Linked DNA regions of Tamandua tetradactyla. The protein of the gene in region 1 interacts with the protein of each later gene in a biochemical or structural test. Links are inferred from orthologs where the notes say so. Each region holds a gene or a part of one and is shown on either strand. Other genes may lie near its edges.

Region 1 (11,540 bases):
AATATTAATAATTCTCAACTTCTTTTTCTTTCAGATTAAAGAAGTAAATACACATCCCACTTAGCAACCACTGCTTGGCATTGCACACAAGGTGCTTCATGATCTGGCCCATGCCCATGCCTTTCCAGCCTGCTCTCCTGGTACGATACTTCCTATACTTTACCTGTGCTGAATTACTTCTTTCAACACACCAGTTAATTATCACTTTCTTACCTTTGACATGCTGTCTCCATTGTCCTTCTACCTCTGCTTACAGGGCACTATGCTCTCACCTCTATTAAAGCACTTATCACAACCTGCTATAATCGTTTCCTTACTAACTTAAAAGAGTAGGGTTTACTCTGAACTCTTGACTTCCAAGCATCTACAACAATTTGTTTAAATTAAGTACTTAATAAATGTTGATTAACAGAAAGGGCTTTCAAGACCTTCCATAATCTGCCTCTAATCTACCTACCCAACTTTATTTTCATCCCACAAATCCATTCCAATTAGCCACTTGCTTTACTTCCTCTCATATGTCATGCTCATTTTGGCTTTTGCTCAGGTTATCCCCTCAACTTGGACTGCCTTCCATCTACACAGAAATAACCTGCCCTTGAAGACTCAGACCAAATTTTCCTTTCCCCATGAATTCACACTCAACTCTTCTATCCTTCATTAGCCATTCCTTTTAGAGAAATAGTACAACACATTTCAGCAATTTTTCCCTATGTAGTAGTTTTCTCTCCCCTAATTTATCTGGAAGTTCTTTGATGCACACTGCAAATTGATGTTTAAAGATATGAGTGACTGGTTGTGGGTAGCATGGTACAGAGGAGAAAGCACTGTACTGGGTTTTAGTCCAAGTTCCACTACTCCATCATCAGGTGACCCAAGCATGGCACTGACCTTCTCTTTAATTCCTCATCTGTAAGATGATGCTTTACATTTTTAAAAATAAATGCCTGGTAAGATATTTCCTCTTACCCAAAGGAAATATTAAAATTTCTCCCCTAAAAATCAAGACAAATTCTAAGACACAATAGGAAAGTCACTTAACCACAGTTGAACCTCAGTTTAATCTTCCGTAAAACAAAAATAAACAGCCCACTCATCTCAAAGGATGGTGGAGATATCAAATGACAAAGTACAGTAAAAATGCATAAACAAAAATCCTGATAAAAAATGTAAGTACTGTTATACTGTTAAGTAGAAAATGCAAGCATTACTTATCATTCAGTTAGTTGGACAGTGTGCCAATTCATCCAAGGACACTGATTGAATCCTTGAACAGTCAGTCGGCACAGAACAACAGAACACTGTTCCATAGTCTCACGCTGTACCTTACCCCTTATGTACAAAGGCACACATTTGGTCACAAAGTAAAATAACCTTTATACAAGAAAGTCTACACAGGAGGGAAGACATCAGCCAAAGCTATCCTTGAGATCTAAGTTAAAACCTGGCTATGGTCCCTAAAAATGTTCTTAGAATTTTCATAGCCATTCTGAGAATAAATCAACTTCTCTTATATTTTGATAATAATCTGAGGTACATATTTTAGCATGAAGGGGATTCTATAGGAAATAATCTGGTTACAAAGATATAGCTTCTCATATAAGCATATCTAATCATTCAAGTGAAACAAAGTGCTATTAAACAAAAAGAAACAAGTACAAAAACATAAGCATCCTGGTAATTCAGCTGTTTTTTAAGAGTCAGATTAATGAACATGCAGTCTGAAACAAAATGTAAAATGTCTTCTCTAAGAGTCTCGCAACTTGTACAACAAACAATAAAGAAAGTGGTAGTACAAGAATCCAGACCAGCTTTTTTAACTTTACATCCTAATAGGGGAATTTGCTACTGTAGTAGTTGCTATTATGACATGTACATTTATTATATGTCCCCAAAGAGTCAAATTATACATATCACTCAAAATCTCAAACCATTCTGGATACAAAAAAATGTTCAATTCTGAAGTTGAATATCATACCAGGCCACCTCCTTTCTATACTTAACTTTTTTTTTTTTCTTTTCTAGAAAATTCAGGAACAATACTGTTAGAATCATTTTTAGGCAATAAAATATGAACTTTCAACAATATTCCAGTGAGAACTGCCTAAAAAAATATACATTTTTATCAAATATCAAACTTCAAGCTGGGCACTTTATACTGTTTCCCCTATGCTCTGCTGGAATACTTTTCTACATGTAGTTTACTTAATGTTCATTTAATTTCATAGCCTTAAAAATATAAATTTAGAAGCTTTCTGGATACACCTATTTCTAGCACAAAGGATACAGTAAATTCAATACACAATGTCTAATAGCTGAGTAGCATCACCACTTTATGTTTACAATCTGCATTATTAATACGAAGGCTATCTAATCTGCATGTCTTAATATCGGTGCTAAGAATCACTAGCCAAAGCTACAAGCACAAACTTACTGGCAAGTTTTAAGGTTCGAAGTGTGAAGAAAGAGGGAAAAAAAAAATCTAAGGGATGGGAAATTTAATGCAAAATTTAAGAATAAAAATGTACTATGCGAAAGGTGGTAGAAGAGCAGGAAAACAAAATTCAAAAAAGTCATTTGCATCCAAGAAATACAAACTTTCTTAACCTATTTACATAAAACAATTGTTATTCTTATCCTGCATTGCTTTTCAGGTAAAATGGAGCCCTGTATTTTAACAATATGCTTTCCTGGGTATCTTTGTTAACTCACAAATGCCTTCATAACCTGGTCCTATCTCTCATTCACACGTTTAAACATTTTGTTCACTGCTGTATTCCCAACCATTAACAAGAGCCAGGACAGTGAATCAAAAAAGCCAAAATGCCCTTGGGGGACTGGGGAGAAAGGAGGGAATATTAAACTTTCCCATTTGGAGCATTCTTGATATTCTTGGAAGCAGTGGGGACAAACAAATCAATAGGCTGAGGCTTCGCTCTTGGGTTTCAGTCCTATGGAACTTATTCCTGAAAAGGATAAACTAAGCCTACTCATAATTATGCCTAAGAGTTCGTTGCTCAGGTGTGGCCTTTCTCTCTAAGACAACTCGCAGGTGAACTCAATGCCCACCCCCCCCATGTGGGACATGACTCCCAAAGGGTGTAAATCTCCCTAGCAATGTGGGACAGCACTCCTGGAATGAGCCGGGACCCAGCATCATGGGATTGAGAAAACCTTCTTGACCAAAAGGGGGAAGAGAGAAATGAGACAAAATAAAATCTCTCAGTGGCTGAGAAATTTCAAATAGAGTCGAGAGGTTATCCTGGAGGTTATTCTTATGCATTATATAGATTTCCCTTTCTGGTTTATGGTATATTGGAATGGCTGGAGGGAAGTTATCTGAAACTGTTGAGCTGTGTTCCAGTAGCCTTGACTCTTGAAGATGACTATGATACAGCTTTTACAATGTGACTGTGTGATTGTGAAAACATTGTATCTGATGCTCCTTTTATCCAGGGTACAGACAGATGAGTAAAAAAAATGGATAAAAATAAATAAATAATAGGGGGAATAAGGGGTAAAATAAATTGGGTAGGTTGAAATACTAGCAGTCAATGAGAGGGAGGGGTAAGGGGTATAGAATGTATGAGTTTTTTCTTTTATTTTTTTTATTTCTGTTTCTGGAGTTAAACAAATGTTCTAAAAATGATCATGGTGATGAATACACAACCATGTGATATTATGAACCACTAATTGTACACCAAGTATGGAATTATGTGTGTGAAGATTTGTCAATTAAAATAAATTTTTTTAAAGTGCTAGGAGCACAAATTGTTATCAGATGAATAATAACCCTTTGGGAGAGGTATTATTACCACTTAATTTTACAAATGAGGAAACTGAGGCTGAGCAAGGTTTAGTAACTTGCCCAGGCATACCATAAATAGCAAAGCCAGAAATAAACTCAGGTCTGTCTGACCACCAAGTCCTTGCTCATACTCTACCCTTACTAGGCAGAAAAACTTAATGTCCTGCACTTCTGTGTCTTTACTGATGAAACTCTCTCTTCTTAGGGCAAAGCTCTCATCAAGCTTCAACCTTTTCCTGTACATCCTCAACCTCTGATTTCCACTGTGGACTTATGTACAACTCTCTCTCCTTTGTGCTGTGCCCTCTCCAGACCTGTTATAATAGCACTTTTAGCCCCTTACTATACTTACCTACTTAGCTCTCTTATTTTAACTCTAAGCTCTCTGAGGGGAGGAGTCAAGCGTCTCTGGCATATGATAATGTTCAATAAATGTTTGATGAATTAATTAATGAACAATCCCTACAAATCACTGGGACAAAAAGGGGCCCTATAGCTCAGTTCCCTAAGCACAGGCAACCAGAGATACGGCATGAGGGTGGCAAGGACATGCTTGAAATTCCCTGCCCACAACATAAAAGAGCATCACTGTGCTATATTAAAGCAGTTTTCAAGTTTTGAGACATCTAATTGAAAGGACAATACAGTATGAAAATCTTAAGGGCCAAGCATAAAATCTATCATTTAAAACTGGCCTACAAGTCTGGGATCTGTCCTGTAACTACTTGTTGAAGAGTGCTTTGAAAACTATTGCTTTTTTATTTCTTTGCTTTGTATATATATCATATAAGAAAATTTAAAAGTTTAAAAAAATTATCTATATTCAAGAAACAAAATCAAGTTTTAAAAAAATAATGAGGGGAAAAAAAAACTGGCCTATCAGGAAGGGACACCAGCTCTCAATTTTAAATATCGCTTGACTGTTTCAATTAAGTCACTGTTCTCAGTGACTTTGCGTATTTGGAGTAGTTTTATTTTTTATACTCCTTGACTTCAAAATGAAATGTCATAAACCTACCATACTGACTTACACCAATAAAGACAAAACTGCTTGTCTTTTACCAAATAGGAAAATAAAGTAGAACCTGTGTGTTACGTAAGAAGCATTCAATAAGTATGCCATTGTAAATTATCTTTCTAAAAGCAGATGTGTCTTCTTTAGGCTAATGAATACTGGGTAGTATTTTCTAGATGGTTTTCATTTTACTGATAGGAAAACCAGGTTCAAACTATATTAAAAAAAAACAAACAAACTTTTTTAAAGGTATCTTGTAAAGGGCTTACTGTTTGCCGGTCATCACTGAGAACTACAAAAACAGTACTGAATTCAGTATTCTGGCCCTGGGAATTTATAACCAAATGCTTAGCTGGACTAATTTCAAGGTACACATTTAAGATAAAAAAATTTTTTTACACACACACTGCTCAATCATAACCTATAATTTAACTCCTTTTTTTAACACTAATTTCTGACAGTGAGTTGTCTAGCCCCACTACATAGTATACGGGATATAAAAAGGACTTATAAATAGGATATTATAAAAGCCAGACTCCTTAATTTTACAATTGGAGCCCATTAAATCACTGACTTGCAAACTAATACATTTCTAAATATTCTCAAGCAGAGTTGGAAAAAAGTGAAAAGCATTTTCCAAAGCTAGAACTCTAACTGCTTAGTCTGATGATTGGTTCCCCGACGTCCATCCCTTCTCTCCAGTTGCTGCTCTGCCAGGAATACCCTCCTGACTCATCCCTGTCTAAGTCCATTACTTCCTTTGAGACCTGGCTCAAGTTTCAGCTCCCTGAAAAAGTCCTCCCTGAGTAACCCCCATTTCCACTACTTCCTAACTTTGCATTCTCTTGACACTTACAGTTTGCAGTAAATAATCAAGCTGTTTTTCATTTTTTCTACCATTTCCCAAACGAGACCAAGCAGGGACAGCATCCTCTACTTCTTTTATATTATCATCTACATAGGCAGCTAATAAATGCTTATTAAATGATTAAATCACCATAAAAGAAAGAAAGCCTACCGCGCAAAACTTTCTGAAGCAACCACTTGGCTTTTCAGATCACATTCATAATACTCTATCACCACGCATGAGTCCTTAGAGGAGATGAGAATATTGCCTTATTTCCAAAAATTCATCATAAAAGATCCAGGCTACAGATTGCTATCATATCTCTCTCTCTAAGATAAAGAACAATCCTACCTATTCAAGCATAGCTTGTTATTTGCCATTTCAAGCTTCTTATATAAGAAAAGGCTTAATAGTCTTGAAGCAGCACGCCGGTGAAGGGTAGGAAGCTGGCACCGGTCTCTTGCAAAAGGGGCAAAACTCTAGTTGGCAGTAAATGTTCAAACACGTGAGCCTCCACTGTTAAACAAGGCTCATTAACCACCCAAACTTGCTGTTTCAGCTTTCTGGACTCAATGAAGTGCTATGATCTCCTTTTGTTATTGTTGAGAGCCAATGATGGGTTAAACTCCCATAAATTAACTGGCGTTTTGGTGGTTTGCCCAAGCATACTGCTGGCATCAGTGTGGATGAATTTTTTTTTCACAGACCCGCCCGCCCCAGGCAGCCAGAGGTGAATGAAGAAAGAGCCAACCCGGCCCTTCTCAGCCGACAAACCGAGACCTACAGAACTCGAGCCGTCCGGTCTTCCTCTAGTTCTTAGTGTCAGCTAATCAGGCAGGGGGGAGGGGGGAGACATCCTACGCGGCTGCTTTGGACTGACCGCAACCCAGCCTCCCTTGGGGGCTCTAAGCCACGCTTCGGCGGCTGCCCAACTTTTGCTACAAGGAGCATCAGTTTTTCCACACTGGAAGCCCCCAGAAAACTGGGTCCGGGGAGGGACGCGCCACGAGGAGCGGGGACGGACAGCATTCCCGGCGGGGTGGGGGGGGAGAACAGGCCCTCTCCGCAAAGGGGGCAGGGTGACAGAAACAAAGTGAGCGCAGTGAGCCCGAGCGCCGCCCGGCCCGCCCGCCGGCCCCGCTCACCCTCCAGCAGCACCTCCTTGCCCGCGCGCTTCAGCGCCTGCACGGCCTGGTCGTGGGTGGCCTGGCGCAGGTCGGTGCCGTTCACCGACAGGATGGCGTCGCCCAGCCGCAGCGCCCGGCTCTGGTCGGCGGCCAGCCCCGGGAAGATCTTGGAAATGAGGATCGGCATCCGGTTCTCGCGGCCGCCCTTGATGCTGATGCCCAGGCCGCCGGCCTCCTGCTTCACTACCCGCACCCGGCGCACGGGCGGTGACGCGCCCGCCTCGCCCGCCTGGCCCCGCGGCGGTGCGGGCGGGCTCGGGGGCCCCAGGCCGCGGCTCGGGCTCCCCGGCAACGAGTCGCCGGCGCCGCCGCCGTTCGGGAGGCCGTTGAAAGCGGCCGCCCCCGACCCCAGAACCGGCTCAGGCTCGGCCGCCGCGGCGTCGCCCGTCAGGCTCAGGCTCTCGCCGCTTAGTTCGGCCACCACCCGGACCCAGCGTTCCCTCAGCAGCAGCTCCACCAGCCCCGCTTTGGTGGCCCGTGTCCACACCGCCATGGCCGGTCCCGCTCCCGCCGCTGCAGTCGCCGCAGCTACCCTCATTCCAGTCAGGCAGCCTCGGCGCTTCCCCCTTCCCGCCCGAGGGGGTGGGCCCGGCACCTCCTCCCGCAGCGATTCATTATTCATGAGACGCCACGCCCACCTCCCGAAGGGGCGGGGAGAGGCCCGCGCAGCCGCTTCCGGGAAGGTAAGAAGTTGCTGCGAGTGGGGTCCCTCAGCCGACTTGGACCTGGTCAAGCGGAGCATGGTGGGGCTCCCTTGCACGTCGTCCTTCCATTCGTTCCCCCCTGCTCTATCAAACCCCTGTTCTCTACCGTGCAATTCACCTGAGCTGCCTGGGCACAGAAAGCAAATTCAGTTTCGAGAAACACTTTGCAAGCCTGCAAGATCTGAGTTGCACATTCACTCTTGCATCGATTGGTTCCTTCCGTATTTATTGAGCGCTCAGCCGTGTGTCTGGCTTCTGTTGAGGCCCTAGAGATGAGCTGAATAAAATGTACCAGAGCTAAGCGCTCACGGTCTAGTGGGGGAAGAAAGGACATAAACAACCAATAGGGATGATTCTATGTGCTTAATGACAGAGAGCAGAGTGAAAGGAGCATCTGGTTCGGCACAGGAATCAGCTTCAGAGAGGCGACAGGGGAGGGCGATCAGCTCAAGAAGAGGAAACTATAAGCAAAGGTCCAGTGACATGAACCCAAGCACTTGGCCACTCTGCTCTGTAATACTTTTTACTTGCCTATAATTTGAGAGGGGACCATGTGTTCTTCAGCCCTGCAGCCACAATAGGTAAGCTTCAAATATATTTGCAGAATGATGTTACTTAGGAAGATGCCAAAATTCCAATGTGAACAGAGACAGATAGCTTCAGTGGAGGCCGCAGGCTATGAATGTGAAGTGCCTCTGTAAATCTGGGGGCCATGATCTCTTTGTTCTGGGGATCCCCAGAAACTGTATGTCAAATTTAGCCTCTAAGGTAATTTTTAGAGCCCATAGCTTTTATTCATTTTGCAGAGAACTCCCAGGACAAAAGACCCCAAACTGCTGCTGTGCATATTGCAGAACCTGCAACAGTTTTTATCTGAGGACTTAAGTAGTACGATAATCTGTCCACCTTTTCCAGCTTCGTGGAAGAAGAGCTGAAAAAAAACTGAGCGCCAAAAAGCCAAAGGCTCTTCCTGTCCAGAGTTCATGGTGAGGAACAGAGATCACAACTCCTTCAAATCCTCCTACCTCCTAATCCAGTGCTTTTCACTAATATGTCAGACCTCAATAATGAGAAAGAAAGTAGATTTAAGGTTACCAGGGCCTGGAGTGGAGAAAGGGGAATTGGGGAATAAAAACTAATAGGTACAGTTTCTGTTTGGGTTGATGAGAACGTTTTGGTAATGGGTGACAGTGATAGCAGCACAATATCATGAGTGTAATTAATATCACTGAATTGAACATACGAAAATGACTAAAATGGGAAATTGTGTGTTGTATCTATGTTACCACAATAAAAATTTTAAAAAGGGGGGGATCCAGAAATCATATTGCTGAAAACAGAGCTCTCAGCAAAAACATGAGGTCAAGGGGCCCTCAAACTTTCCTTCAGCATTAAAAGTGAAATCCCATGTTTCCATTTTGGGGCCAGGCAGGCAGAAGGAAAGTGCATCAATTCCTGTAAAAGGGGCTATATACCTAATTGCTTGTGGAGCACACGTTGAGGCTTATAAACCATGTCCATGCACCACTCTAAATGCACATTCATATGTGGGCAGAAACTTCTAAAGAGCCTCCTATACCAGGAATGAAAACAATAAGGATATGGGCTGGGAGGTACCCACAGCCTAAAGAAAGAGTTTAAAATGAGAAAAGTATCCTACCAAAAAAATCATTACAATAGATTCCTATTTGCAATTAGTGGGACAGGATTTCCCAAGCTGCAAACATCAGCAAAAGCTCAACCCTCCAGCTGTCTCCTGAATCAACTGCAATGAGGCCAGCTCGCTGTCTTGGCAGGTCCCGATGTGCCCAAGTGCACCTGCAGTCACAGACATTTCTGGATTTGCTCCGCTGAGGGGTGAGCCTCCAGAGGCCTGAGTTATATGAAATTTCTGCTTATTAGAGAGCACTTAGTTGATTCCTTAGAGTATGAGCACTATTTTTAACACTTTAACACTAATTACTCAGGGGTTAGATACTTGAGGACACTTTTAAAAGCAAAAGGGAAGTGCTGGAAAGTCTTTCCAAGACTATCAAAACCTTTTGGTCAACAGAGTTGGACAAAGTCAAGGATCTTCAAACTAGAAGTGAGGGCACTTACACAAGATAGCAAGTCATATAACAAAATATCTAACATTTAGAGAAGAAAGCAAAGATTGGTATTTGTATGATTACATGAAGAATTTTCCTTAATAACCTTTTTAAATCCCTCCATAAAAAATGCCCAAATTCTCCAAGTGTATTTACAAGGCCCTCCACAATTAGAATCTGAATTAACTTGTCAACATTCTCTTTCATTACTATTTTCAGATCTGCCAAACTAATGCAGTGTCCCCCAGTGATATCTTCCAAATATCTGCCCCCTTCAAACTCATTCCACCTAACAAGATCTTATCCCAGCTTTAACTACTAGCCAACTGGTGGGGATTCTTCTTTTGATGTTTTTCCTATGCCTGTTTTTTTTTTGTTTTTGCCCAAGCAGATTATAATGTATGAAGGATAAGGAACACCCATTGACTTATAATTATTCCCCACTATTCCAAACCGATTGCCATGCACAGAAGGAACTCAGCATGTGATTGATTGAAATCCAGTGCTTCTCATACTGTGATTTTTTCAAATAATCCCTCTGATGGTTATTGGTTTCTTTTTTTTTTTTTTAACAACTCTTTTTTTTTTTTTATTAACATGGGCAGGCACCAGGAATCAAACCCAGGTCGTCTGGCCTGGCAGGCAAGCATTCCTGCCTGCTGAGCCACCGTGGCCTGGTTATTGGTTTCTTGAAGAGTGAAAATGATCATCTAGGAAATCTCAAGTAGTCAGTGAAAATATGCTTACTGTGGATAATGAAACCTGAAATAAAGAGTATACCTATGTTTCCACAGTTTCTTAAAGACAGTGACACAGCTTAGGTAATTCTCTCAACAGACATTTTATCTAACTCTAAAAAAGGAAATTTCTGATTCTTGCTAACATTTATTCCTATCACCTATCAATATCTATTCTCCTCTACTCAAACTGTTATCTCTATTATTTCTCTAAGGGAAAAAGGGATCATTGTTACTTTTGAAATAAGGGTGATTAGGTCTCTCAGTTTCACCTTACAATTTTGTGACTAAGGTTCTGATTCTTGCTCTCTTAAATCCCATATTTGAGGGGAAGAATTTTTTTTTTTTTCTTCTCCCTCCTACTAGATATATAGTAAGTATAGCATGGTAATTAAGAACACAAAGTTCAAATGCTGGTTTGGTCACTTACCAGCTATATGTCAATGGTCTAGGGACTGAGGTCTTTGGCCTTAAGTTTCTTCTATGGAAAAATTCAGAAACCTTCTACCTCTAAGGGTGGTTGTGAGGATTGAGTGGGATGATGTATGCAAAGTGCTTAGCAGTACAGTGCCTGCCACACAGTAAAGGTTCCACAAAAAGTACTCAACTGCTGTTATTATTACCTACTGACCTTCAGTTGAGAGTTTATACTTTATCTAGGAATGAGTATGCCATAATGCCATTTGATTCCATGCTTAAAAGGTAAATGGTGTGGCAATTTCCATTTTTATAGCACCAGTGTTTATAGCAGCATTATTCACGTTTGCCAAGAGATGCAAGCAGCCCAAATACCCATCAATGGACTAGTGGATAAACAAGTTGTGCTGTATACATACAATGGAATATTACACAGCAGTAAGGCAGAATAAAGTCATGAAGTTTCCAATGACGTGGATGAATCTTGAGGACATTATCTTGAGTGAAATAAGCTCAAACGAAAAGGAAAAATATTGTATGGTCTCACTAATATGAATTAACATTAATGAGCAAACTTTGAGAGTTAAAGTTGAGAAACAGGTTTTCAATAGATAGAAAGAGGGTAGAGATTGGGTATTTGATCCTAAAGGAGCACAGAATGTGCAACAGGATTGACTGTATAGATCTAGAAACGGATAGCACAATACTATCTGATGGTAGCACAATATTCTAAGT
Region 2 (11,540 bases), on another chromosome or scaffold:
TTACCCCTGGCCTTCATTGACAATGAACTTGGTTCTCAAAAGAATGCCCTTTCCTTGACCCTGACCCTTCCCCTCCAGGCTATTCCATGTGTTCATAAAAGGCAGTGCAAGAAGCCTTCATGGAACTGGGTTTGGCTGGTCTCTACCTGGACACTCACCCAGATTTCTTCCTGCGCCTTTTGGCAGGAACTGCAGTAGGGTGGAGAGGGTGGAGAGCTGCTCAGGAGTCAGCTGACGTAGCTCCACCCCGTAACCCGCCAGCACAGCTGCCAGTCTCTGCACAGTCACGTCTCCTGGGAGCCAGACACAGAACTTAGGGCTGCGGGTGGAATCAACTCGTGGGATGCAGACGGGTGAGTGGGGGGTGGGAGGACCTTAGCGCATTTATGAGCTCCTCAAACACCCAGACACCTGCCCTCCCCTTCTTAGCCATTGTCCTTCCAGGGCAAAGACCAAACTTCAGGGCCACTGTGGACTTCTGACTCTTCATCTCAAGAAGAGTCATGCCAGGTTCACTCACCACTGTATCCCCAGTGCTTACTAGTGCCTGGCACAGATCAGCTTATCAGTAAACAGGTAGTTACTGAATGAATAGCTTTAAGGAAAAATTAAGAAATGCATGGATAGTTAGGGAGGAGTCCCCAGGGTCCCCAAGCAGGCCCCACAGACAGGGAGGTAGACAGTGAGGACTCTGTTACCTGACTGGACTGCTGGAGAAGGAGGCTTCTTCCTGTGACCCCCAGGTCCTTCCTCCTCATAGTCCTCTGAAGAATCCTCTGTCTGACTCCCTTGCTCTGGCAGCCTTGGCATCTTGGCCCTGCTGGGCACTGGCAGCTCCTGGGCCAGGTAGAGCAGCCCTGAGTCCTGGAAAAGCTGAGCAGGTGAAGGCCCTGGAGGATCCCCATAGGTGTGGCCAGGATGGGCCTCAAACATGCCCTTGAAGGCAGCTCTACTGAAGAGGGCAGGGGGTTCAGCCTTGGGCAGGGGGCCAACATTGACCATTGCTTGGGAACTCTCTGAGTTCCGGGAGCCATCGTGGGAGCCAAACTGTGGGAAACCAGAGGTCCTTGTAAGATGGGTAGCCAGGACTGGAGGATTGGGGTTGGGGTATTGCTAAAGTCTAGGGCTCACCTGCTGGAACAGGTAGGGCTGTAGCAGGGCAGGTTCATAACTCAGAGCAGAATGGGGGGTCTGTGGGGGCAGCAGCAGATGCTCTAAAAGAGGAGGAAGCAGCTCGGCCTGCAGAGGGGACAGGGGGGAGCCCACCCCAGCTCCACCCCCACCTGGCAGAGGTCGAGGAAGCCGGTGCTGGGTGGCAGGGGCAGAGCCAGTGGGGATGCCCTGTAAAAGCAGCTCCCCAGTGGTGGCAGGTCTCCTGGACACCAAGCCAGATCTGGGGAGGAAAGTAAAGTGTGCATTTGTGTGTACTTTAGTTGTGGTAGCAAGTGTATAGAGAGCCTAAAGAGGCAGAGATGGTGGGGACAAACCAGCCTTAGCAAATCAGAGTGGGCCCGTCCTCTTGAGAAATGAGGTGACTGCAAGGGAGGAGAGAGTAGCATGGGGAAGGGCTAGAGGGTGAAGCCTAGGACAAAGTCCATCTGCCTCCCTGCTAAGCATGCCTAGGATGCCCAGATGCAGCTGCAGAGGTTAGGGAAGATTGAGGTTAGGTATGGAGAAGGGGAGAACAGGAGCAGTAGAGAGCAGCTGGGAGCCTTTCTAGATAAACTGCAGCTCGAGGCTTGCTCATTGCTTCTATGTGCCATGTTTCCAAAATGTGGCCTTTCAAGTGTATGTTTGAATATTCAGGACTGCCTCCTCCCACCACCCACCTTGTACATCTGATATCATCACCTGAGCCCCATGGGCCTCATTTACTTCCCCCTTGCTTTAGTGGCCCTAATCACAAAAAGATAATGGTGCCTCCTGCCATATGTAATTCTACATAAGAACCAAACAAGTATTAAATAACTCAGGTCCAACAAAATTATAATTTGCCCCATGCTGACAACTTTCTCACTTATCTTGGAACACTAGATGTCAGTGTTTTTCAAAGCAGTTTTTAATGCCTCTGTTTTGCTGGCTCCTCAGGAATGAGCTCAGCTCCTGTTGGATATGTGGCAGTGTCAGAGGGTGACCATTCAAGGGTCTTTTTAACCTGTGCCACAGCTCCAGCCTGCTGACTTTGATGCCCACTTCCCTCCCCCTTCCCTTCATCCATCAGAGTGACCACAGACCCAACAGACTTGCCATGCTACTGTTGTCAAGAAAGGCTGCCTACCTGTCCCTCAGGCGGGGCTCTGAGGAGCGAAGCCTGGGGATGCGCTCCATCTCCTGAGAGATGACATACTGGGTGAGGTCATCATGCCAGGACAATCCTGCCAGTAGACAGAATGGAGTGAGATTAGCTCCTGAGTTACCCCAAGGGTTCAGTAACAGGGACCAGTGGAGTCAGACTTCTTGGGTTTGAATCCTGCCTCTGTCACTTACTAACTGAGTGAATCTGGGCAAGTTACTGAATTTCTCTGAGCCTCAATTCTCTCATTTGTGAAGTGGGGATTCATACCTTCTATGACTTTTGTGGTCCTTAAAATAACCCATATGAAATATTTGGAATAATGACTGTCACATAGTGAACATTCAATAAGTGTGATTATCATCCTCATCATCATGACTATTAACGATTATTCTTTTTGCTGATCCCTACCCTTAGTTTTCCTTATCTGTATGTAAAGTGGGAATAATACATATTCCATGGGGCTGTTGTGAAGATCAAGTGAGATCAGAGAAGTGAAAAAACTCAAAAGTACTATACACATGTTTTAAACTCATCATCATCTTATCCTGAGGCAGATCTGAAACTGTACTCTTGGGAAAGGTCAGTTTTTATTCCAAAGGAATCATCTTCTACTTTCTACCCCCATTCTTTCTTTCCTGCTTCTGGACATGTAATCTATGGTACATGGCTAAATCCAGTGGTCAAGTTTCAGATATCATCTTACTTAATCTATCATCATTTGACACTCCTTCCTCCTTGATAAACTTCACTTGGCTTCTGGGAACCAGTTAGTCTTGGTTTTCCTCCAACTTCACGGGCTCCCCATTCTCAAACTCTCTTATTGGTTCCTCTCCTCCTGGTCCTCTAATATTAGAATTCTTTAACACTCAATCCTCAGTCCTCTTCTTCATATATATTCAATCTTTTGGCTATCTCATCCACTCCATAGCTTTAATTACATCTATATTCCAAAGAATTCCAAACTTATATCTCTACTCCAGACCACTCTCTTGAAGACCAATCTCATAAACTCAATTTACCACTCTACTTAAATATCTAATAGACATGTTCAAACATGTTCAAAACTGAATACCTCCCAAGTTGATCCTTCTGCAACTTTCCACACATTAGTTGATGGGATCTCCATTGAGTCAGTTGTTTAAGCAATAGGACCTTGGTGTCATCTTTGATGCCTCTCTTTCTTTCACAGCCCACATCCAATATGTCAAGAAATCATGCTGACTACCCTAAATAGATATGCTGAATCCTATCACTCTTCACTGTTTCCTTGCAATTACCCTGGTTCTAGCTGGCCTCACCTCTCACCTGGATTATTGTGGTAGCTTTTCATTGGTCTTCTTGCTTCTGCCCTTGGCTCTTTACATTCTAGTGATCCTTTTTAAGTAGAAGTCAGATCATGCAACCCTGTGCTCAAAATCTTGTGATGGCTTCCTCTTTCACTCAGTGTAAAAGCCTATGTCCATCCAGTATCCTATAAGACTCTATAATGATAAGGCTCCTATAAAGTTCTATAATGATTTGTGCGCACACACACATTATCTACCTGACTGCATCTTCTCTTTCCCTCCATTACTCTTCTACAACTACACTGGTCTCCAAGCTGTTCCTTTAATCAGTGCTCCTGCCTTAGGGCTTCTGTTCTAGCTGTCCTGTCTGCCTAAAACACTCATTTCCAGAATAAACTTCTGGAAAAGTACCTTATGAAATTCTTTAAATTTCATAGTGTCAGTAAGATCTACTTGGATCACCCAACTTAATACTGTATTTTACACCATTTCTGATCCCTTTTATCCTGCTCTAACATTTTATTTTTCCATGGCACTTATCATCTTCTAACATACTTATATTTTCTATATACTTTATATGGTATATCCCCACCTCCATCCCTGAATGTAAACTTCAAAAGGCAAGGATCTTTGTCTGCTTTATACCCAGATTTATCCAAAATATCTAAAACAATGCCTTTTGTATGTTAAGCACGCAATAAATATTTGCTGAATGAATTAAATGGATAGGTGGGATACGCTCCTGGCTGAAAACCCCAGGATTTCTGACTCTGGAGCACCCAGACAGTTCCAGAGGGTGGGGCTGGCCTTAAGGAGATGGAAGCTGGCCTCTTTCAGTGGTTTCTTCTAGAAGTAGATATGTAGGAATGTTCCATGCAGAGATGTTTGTGATAGGAGAAAGCCTGTCCTCAGGTTAGGAAACTTCTCAGTTTCCCACCCACATATAACCAAGTTCCATCTTTCTCCTCTAGTACACCCAGACCTCACCTTGGGACATGAGTTGTCGGAGCACACCTTGTAAACGCTGGAGAACTGGGGAAGTGACTTGCAGAAGGGGCCGGGCCTGCCCCACTCCCACCTGGCACTGTCCAAACAAGCCATCTAAGAGCACAAAAGTGGCGTCAGCAGGGGGCTTGGAATGGGAGGCTTCCAAATTCAGGTTGCAAATGAACAGAACTCTTTCCACTTTCTTTTGTGGTTTCAGAGAGCTCTACTTCTCCAAGCCAGCCCCCTTCTCCACAGGGCCAATATTTCTCCTCCCTTCTGGTCTTCCTCCCTCCACTTCTTTTTATTTAGCTTTTTTTTTGGGGGGAGGTGAGGTGGGGAAAGAGAGAGGCTGCATAGTTCAGGAATCGACCCTGACTCTCTCGCATGGAAGGCGAGCATTCTACTACTGAGCCACCCGTGCACCCCCTCCATTTCTTTTTTATTATGTCATCCCAGTCTTACGATTCTTATGCCCGGGCCTCCTCACTCACCCTGAATACAGACTTCAAGGTGAGAGCACAGCCTCCGGTCAAACAGGCAGCCTGTAGAGGGATGGGGGAGCAGAGACTCAGACACCCACCCACACATCAGATGATCAGAGGCACATGCCCAGAAAGCAGGAAACAGATGGGGTCCATTCCTTCATTCCAAGGAAGGCTTTAAGATTGGAGGAGAGTAGGGAAGTGCCTAGAATACTTAAGAGAAAGAAGAATGGGACCTGGATTTGGATTTTTAGGATCTGCAAGACTAGATCTTTTCCCTAAAAGCCAATTTGCTCAATTGGCCAGCAGGGAGAATAAGCGAGTGTTGGTGAAGGATGGTATATTCCACTCTCACAGAATTAATGTGGGAGAGTTCTGAGCTAGATTCTGGGGAACAGGGGACTTTCCTTTCCAAATATCCATAATCATTCTAACAATGATGGCTTGGAGCTCAGAAAAGGCGACAACCCACACATACTCTGTGGGGTAATGAGATAGAGGCAGCGCCCCGCCCCATACCAAAAGAAAAGGGAACGATCCTGGCCACAGCCCCTCCTGTTTGCCTGCCCCAGGGCATTGGGCGCTGTCCTCGGTGCTGAAGTTCTGAGCCTGGAGCTGCTGATGGCTCGTCTGGAGGCAGTTTCGGGAGAGGAAGGGGTGACCGGGCGAGAAGTCTCCACAAGAACCTCTGTCCCACCCCTCTTGCACCACTTTGCTAGCCCCCAGAGCCATAGGAAGTACTCTGCATTGGCCTCCAAGCCCGACTGGGGAAAGGGGGGGCCAGACCGCGAGGCTGCGCCCCTCCCCACCCGGTGCCCCCCCACCCCGCCCCCGGCCCGTGAGTCAGCGCTGACTATCTCTGTCCGCTCAGATGTGAGTCAGCACCGGGCCTGGTTGTGAGGAGGGGTCGGAAAGGGACCCTTCCCTCTCTATCCTCCGCTGCCCTTTTCTCTCGCTGTACCTCTCTTATCGGAGATAAGATCGCAGCAAGCCCTAAAGAAAAACCCTGGCCCTTTCCTTGGCCCAGCCCTCTACCGGGAGCCGAGACCCCGATGCCCGCAGCTCAAGCTCCTACTGCCGGAAGATCCCCGTTCCTTTTGCTCCCGCCTGCTTCCTACCCCTCAGCGCCGGCAACAACCTCCCTGGTGCCTCGATGCGACTTGTGAGGTCCTGTAGGCCGGTTCTAAGTCCCTTTGCTTTATGCACCCCATCCCTCCTCCAGAATCCGCTATCTTCCCCTGAGCCTGCTTCTCTTAGGTCCCGCCCCAGGATTCCGAGCCCCACCTCCAGGCCTACGCCCCTTTCCTTCCAGAAGCCCTCTCACCTTTCTCAGCATGCAGTGTCTCCCTCCACTCCCGCCCCCACCTCCCCACCCCCCCACAGTCTGTCTGTCTGAACTTCCCACCTTCGTGCCTCTCCACCCCTTCAGCCCTGGTTTTGCTCTCCGTCCCTCCCTTCCCACGTTTCCTCCTGACCGTGTGCACTGATGGCACTGCAGCCCCCCGGGCGGCTGCCCAGCAGCAGGAGGCAGAGGAGCAGCCGAAGACCCCTGGATCCTCCGGGACCCCCGGGCTGCCGCGGGCGCCGCATCCTTCCGAGCTCGGCGCGCTGGCTCCCGGGCCTGAGCCGCAGCGACGCTGGCGGGAGCCGGCCAGAGCGGCCACGAGGCGGAGTCTGCGCGCTCCTCTCGCGGCAGCTCGACCCAGTACTAGCGAGTGATGACGACACCGCCCACCCCCGGTTCTTAGGCCTATTTGCGTCATATATGGCGTAACAGCCCAGTCGTAGCGGGGTGCCTACCCTTTCCGTTCCTCCCCCACCAAATACTAGGCGCCTCACTAGAATTCCCAGTTGGCCAGCCACATCCCTGTTGGATATATGTTCTGCCCAGAACCACCACCTCTATCCCCCAGTCCCAGGGTTGGAGAAAAGGATTATAACTGGGTGAGGGCCAGGAAAGATAAGTGAAACGGGAGTGTAAACCCTGAGGCAAAGAGCAGAAAAATGAATAGATACCCTTACCCATCTTAATGAATGGTTCAGATGTCGTCCTTAGAAGAAGGAACTGAATTCCAGTTCTGGCAATACCTCCTACTTGGGGTATAACCTTGTTGCTGAACTTCTCTGCATCCAAGTTTCCTGATCTATAAATTGGGGATGCTAATAGTTCCTCCCTCATACGGTAGTTGTGAGAATTAAATGTATTGAATATATGTGAATCACTTAGAAAAGTGACTAACTGGCACATACTAAACTCTGCTAGTCACACACTAGCTTTTGCTATTAACCTTGGTTTTCTCTTTGTCTCAACACCCTGCACCCCTGCCAGCCCATCAACCATCTTATGGCTTATATCTGCAAAACACATCGCATGTCAGTCTACTTTTCTCCATACTCATCTAAACCACTGCATATTTTGTATCACCGCTGTGGCAGTAATCACCTAGCTGGTCTTTTGCTTCCATTCTTGTCAGTCTATGAGCTGGAGAGTGAGTTTTCTAAAATTCAAATTTGATCATATTACTCTCTTGCTTTAATAGTCTCCTATTAAACCCCGAAAAGTTTTCATACTTTAACAAAAAATTTCCAACATCCAAAAAAGAAAAAGATAAAAGTACATAGTAGGGCGGGCCACGGTGGTTCAGCAGGCAAGAGCGCTTGCCTGCCGTGCCAGAGGACCCCGGGTTCGATTCCTGGTGCTTGCCCATGTAAAAAAAAAAAAGGACATAGTAAACATTCATAAACCTATTAGCTAGTTTTAACAGGTTATTGAAATTTTGCCAAATTTGTGTAACTTAAGTATTTCAAAGTAAATTACAGATATCATGATATTTCACTTATAAATATTTAAATGTGCATATCAAAGAAACAAGGGACACTTTTTCACATAACCAAAATACTATTGTGACACCTAACAAAATTTACAATGATTCCCTAACATAATTTAATATTAAGTTCATACTAAAATTTCTCAAATTGTTTAAAAAATGTCTTTTTTCCAACTGACTTGTTCAAAACAAGAGTACATCCAGGATCATCATTGCATTTTATTAAGGTTCTTAATTTTCTTTTAAATTAATACAGACACTGCCATGCCCCCATTTTTTTGTCAGTCTTTTTTTTAAAAAAATGTATTTTTATTGAGATATCTTCATGCACACACAGTCCTTCCAAAGTATGCAATCAGTAGCTCACTATTTCATCACATAGCTGTGTATTCATCACCATGATCATTTTTAGAACATATGCATCATTCTATAAAAAGAAATAACAAGAAAAAAGAACAAAAAACATACATCCTATACCCCCTTACCCCTTCCTCTCATTGACCACTGGTATTGCAATCTACCCAATTGCCCCATTTTTTTTTGTTGTCTTGTTGAAGAGGCCAGATCAGTGTTTCTACAGAATTCTCACCTTCTGGATTTGTCTGATTGTTTCTTTGGTATGTTTACTTATTTCTCTATTCCTTGGAGTTCTTGTAAACTAAAAGTTAGATCTAAAGACTTGATTAGATCTAGTTAAAATTGTTTTAAGCAAAATGCTTTATAGGTGATGCTGGATGCCTCCAATTGCATCATTTCAGGAGATTTATAATGTCTGGCTATTCCATTATTAGTGATGATAAATTGATTATGGTAGAGATAGCCATATATTTGAATTTGTAAGGTTATGTTTCCTCTTGTGACCATCATATAATCTGTTCAATGATTCTTTGACATTGTGAGACTATCTAGTTCCCTACCAACTTTTTGTTTGGTTTTGTTTTCCTTATGGATATTCATATATATTCTTAACAAAGCTTTTATTAGGAATAATGCATGTTTTTTAACAAAATAACTTTCCCTTCAAACAAATCAGTATCAGAATCCTCAAATCACCAGAGCTAGTTGCTATAAACAAATTGATAAGTCTTTTTCTGTGAAAAAATAACTAGAATAGATGTTTTTTTTTTTACCTACAAAGACTAATACTATACAAGCTGTTATTAACCTGCTTTGTTCACTTAGCATGTTATGGATAACTTTCCGTATCAGTGCATGTAGACTTACCTCATTCCTCCTTTTTTTTTACCCCACCCCCCTATTTACTTATTTATTTATTTATTTATGCCTATATTTTCCTACTCATCTGTCCATACATTGGATAAAAGGAGTATCGGTCACAGGTTTTCACAATCACCGGGTCATACCATAAAAGCTATATAATTATACAGTCTTCAAGAATCAAGGCTAGTTGATTACGGTTCAATGGTTTCAGGCATTTCCCTCTAGCTACTCCAATATACCAAAAATTGAAAGGGGTATATATATATATATATATATTGCATAAGAAAAGCCTCAAGAATGACCTTACAACTGTATTTGAAGTCTCTCAACCATTGAAACTTTATTTTGTTTCATTTCTCTTCCCTCTTTTGGCCAAGAAGCCTTTCTCAATCCCATGATGCCAAGGGCAATCTAATGCCCAGGAGTCATGTCCGCATTTCCAAGGAGATTTATACCCCCCGGGAGTCATGTCCCATGTAGCAGGGAGGGAAGTGAGTTTACCTGCAGAGTTGATTTAAAGAGAGAGGCCACATCCGAGCAACAAATGTGGGGGTGACTCAGGCATAATTACAAGTAGCTTAACTGTTTACTTTGCAGGAATATGTTTCATAAGGCAAGCCCTAAGATTGAGGGCTTGGCCTATTAAATTGCTAGTTCCCAAATGCTTGCAGGTGGGAAAGTTTAATATTTCCTTCAGTACCTCAAGAGGACCTTGCCAATACTTTTTTATCTTCTCCCAAGATTATTCTGGGATGTATCAGGGTGTGCTGGTTGTGAAGTGTTGTGTACCCCAGAAAAGCCATCTCCTTTAATCCTGATTCAATATTGTAGGGTGGGAACCTTTGATTAGATTGTTTCCATGGAAATATAATCCACTCAATTTTGAGTGTGACCTTTTGATTAGATGGAGCTGTGACTCCACCCATTTATGGTGTGTCCTGATTAGTTTACTGGAGTCCTTTAAAAGAAGAAACATTTTGGAGAAAGCTCAGGTGCTTAGAGAACAGTTGCTTGAGAAACAACATGAGACCCCAACATTTGGAGATGCACAAAGAAATGCAAAGGACACTGTTTGAAACCAGAAGCCAAAGACCCCAGCAGACACCAGCCCCATGCCTTCCCACCTGACAGAGTTGTTCTGGACCCATCGACTTTCTTGAGTCAAGGAATCTTTCTCTGGATGCCTTATCTGGACATTTTTTTGACCTTAGAACTGTAAATTTGCAACTTAATAATTCCCTTTTTAAAAGCTGTTCCATTTCTTGTATATTGCATTCCGGCAGCTTTTACAAATTAATACATAGGGCATCACACTAACCCGTGCAAACCAACAAGATTTCATTCCGCATTCAAAGTTCCATGTAATTAGGGCATTTGAATAAACAAGTTAAGTTGGATATGTGTGCTACAGAAAATATAAGTTTTGCACCAAATAAACATCTTCTTTTGGTCTCACACAGAAGTTGAAGTTTCAAAATACAGTCAATATTCTCCTTCACCCTTTAATCTGATTTACCTTAGTCCTAACCAGATCAGCTTCTTTTATATCTCTAATTGAAGTCTGATCTCTTTTTCAGTGCTTATAACAGTTGCTGTACGGGGTAACATTTACTTTTATAGTTGCAGAACTCCTGACTCTGAGCCTCAGGTGTCAAATAGATACCCAAAGTTCCAGGGAATGGCAAAGAGCTCAGCATCTCAGAATTTAGAAATAACAGTTACACCTCAGGAATAGATGTGACTGCTGTTAGAGTTTACAATCTAGGAACCTTTACAATAAGCTTTCCCCTGATAACCTATGCTCTCAAATTCAATTGTCAGAATTTGCACATTATAATTAGTACATATTAGTGAGAAATAATATCTGTCTTTTCTTTTCTGGCTTATTTTATTTAATATACTGTGTGCAAGGTTCACTCACCTAGTCGCATGCCTCACAGCTCATTACTTCTTGCAGCCGCTCAATATTCCATTGTATGTATACATTACCGTTAGCTCTTCTTTTCTTCAGTTAATGTACCCCTAGGCCACCTCCATCCATTGCAAATCATGAATAGTGCTGCCATAGACACCAGTGTGAAAATGTCTATTCATGTCCCTGCTTCCAAGTATATACCTAATAATGGGGTTGCAGGATCATATGGCAACCCTATACTTAGCCTCCTGTGGAACCACCACACTGCCCTCCAAAGGGCAGCATTCCACTTCCCTACCAATAGTGAATAGGTGCATCTCTCTCCCCATATTTTCTCCAGCACTTATATCTTTCTATTTATTTTTAAAACAGTTTTATTCACACATTATGCAATCCTCCTAAGTAAACAATCAATAGTTTCTGGTATAATCACATAATTTTATGCACTCATCACCACAATCTATATGAGGACATTTCCATTTCTTCTGTAGAGAAAGAATGAGGAAAGAAAATGAAGAATAAAAA

The links.
Region 2: the proteins of SNTB2 (region 1) and PTPRN form a complex in vitro, tested with the Homo sapiens proteins (2 studies listed by BioGRID and IntAct). The link is inferred for Tamandua tetradactyla from reciprocal best matches to the Homo sapiens genes SNTB2 and PTPRN.

Annotation. Positions count from the first base shown.
Region 1 is NC_135342.1:63,168,528-63,180,067, reverse strand, and holds the start of SNTB2 (beta-2-syntrophin), read right to left. Parts: upstream 7,440-11,540; 5' UTR 7,396-7,439; coding exon 6,816-7,395; intron 1-6,815. UniProt on the Homo sapiens protein: Adapter protein that binds to and probably organizes the subcellular localization of a variety of membrane proteins. May link various receptors to the actin cytoskeleton and the dystrophin glycoprotein complex.
Region 2 is NC_135329.1:195,056,771-195,068,310, forward strand, and holds the start of PTPRN (receptor-type tyrosine-protein phosphatase-like N), read right to left. Parts: upstream 5,629-11,540; coding exon 5,571-5,628; intron 5,112-5,570; coding exon 5,061-5,111; intron 4,684-5,060; coding exon 4,570-4,683; intron 2,376-4,569; coding exon 2,279-2,375; intron 1,394-2,278; coding exon 1,132-1,393; intron 1,048-1,131; coding exon 699-1,047; intron 294-698; coding exon 159-293; intron 1-158. UniProt on the Homo sapiens protein: Plays a role in vesicle-mediated secretory processes. Required for normal accumulation of secretory vesicles in hippocampus, pituitary and pancreatic islets.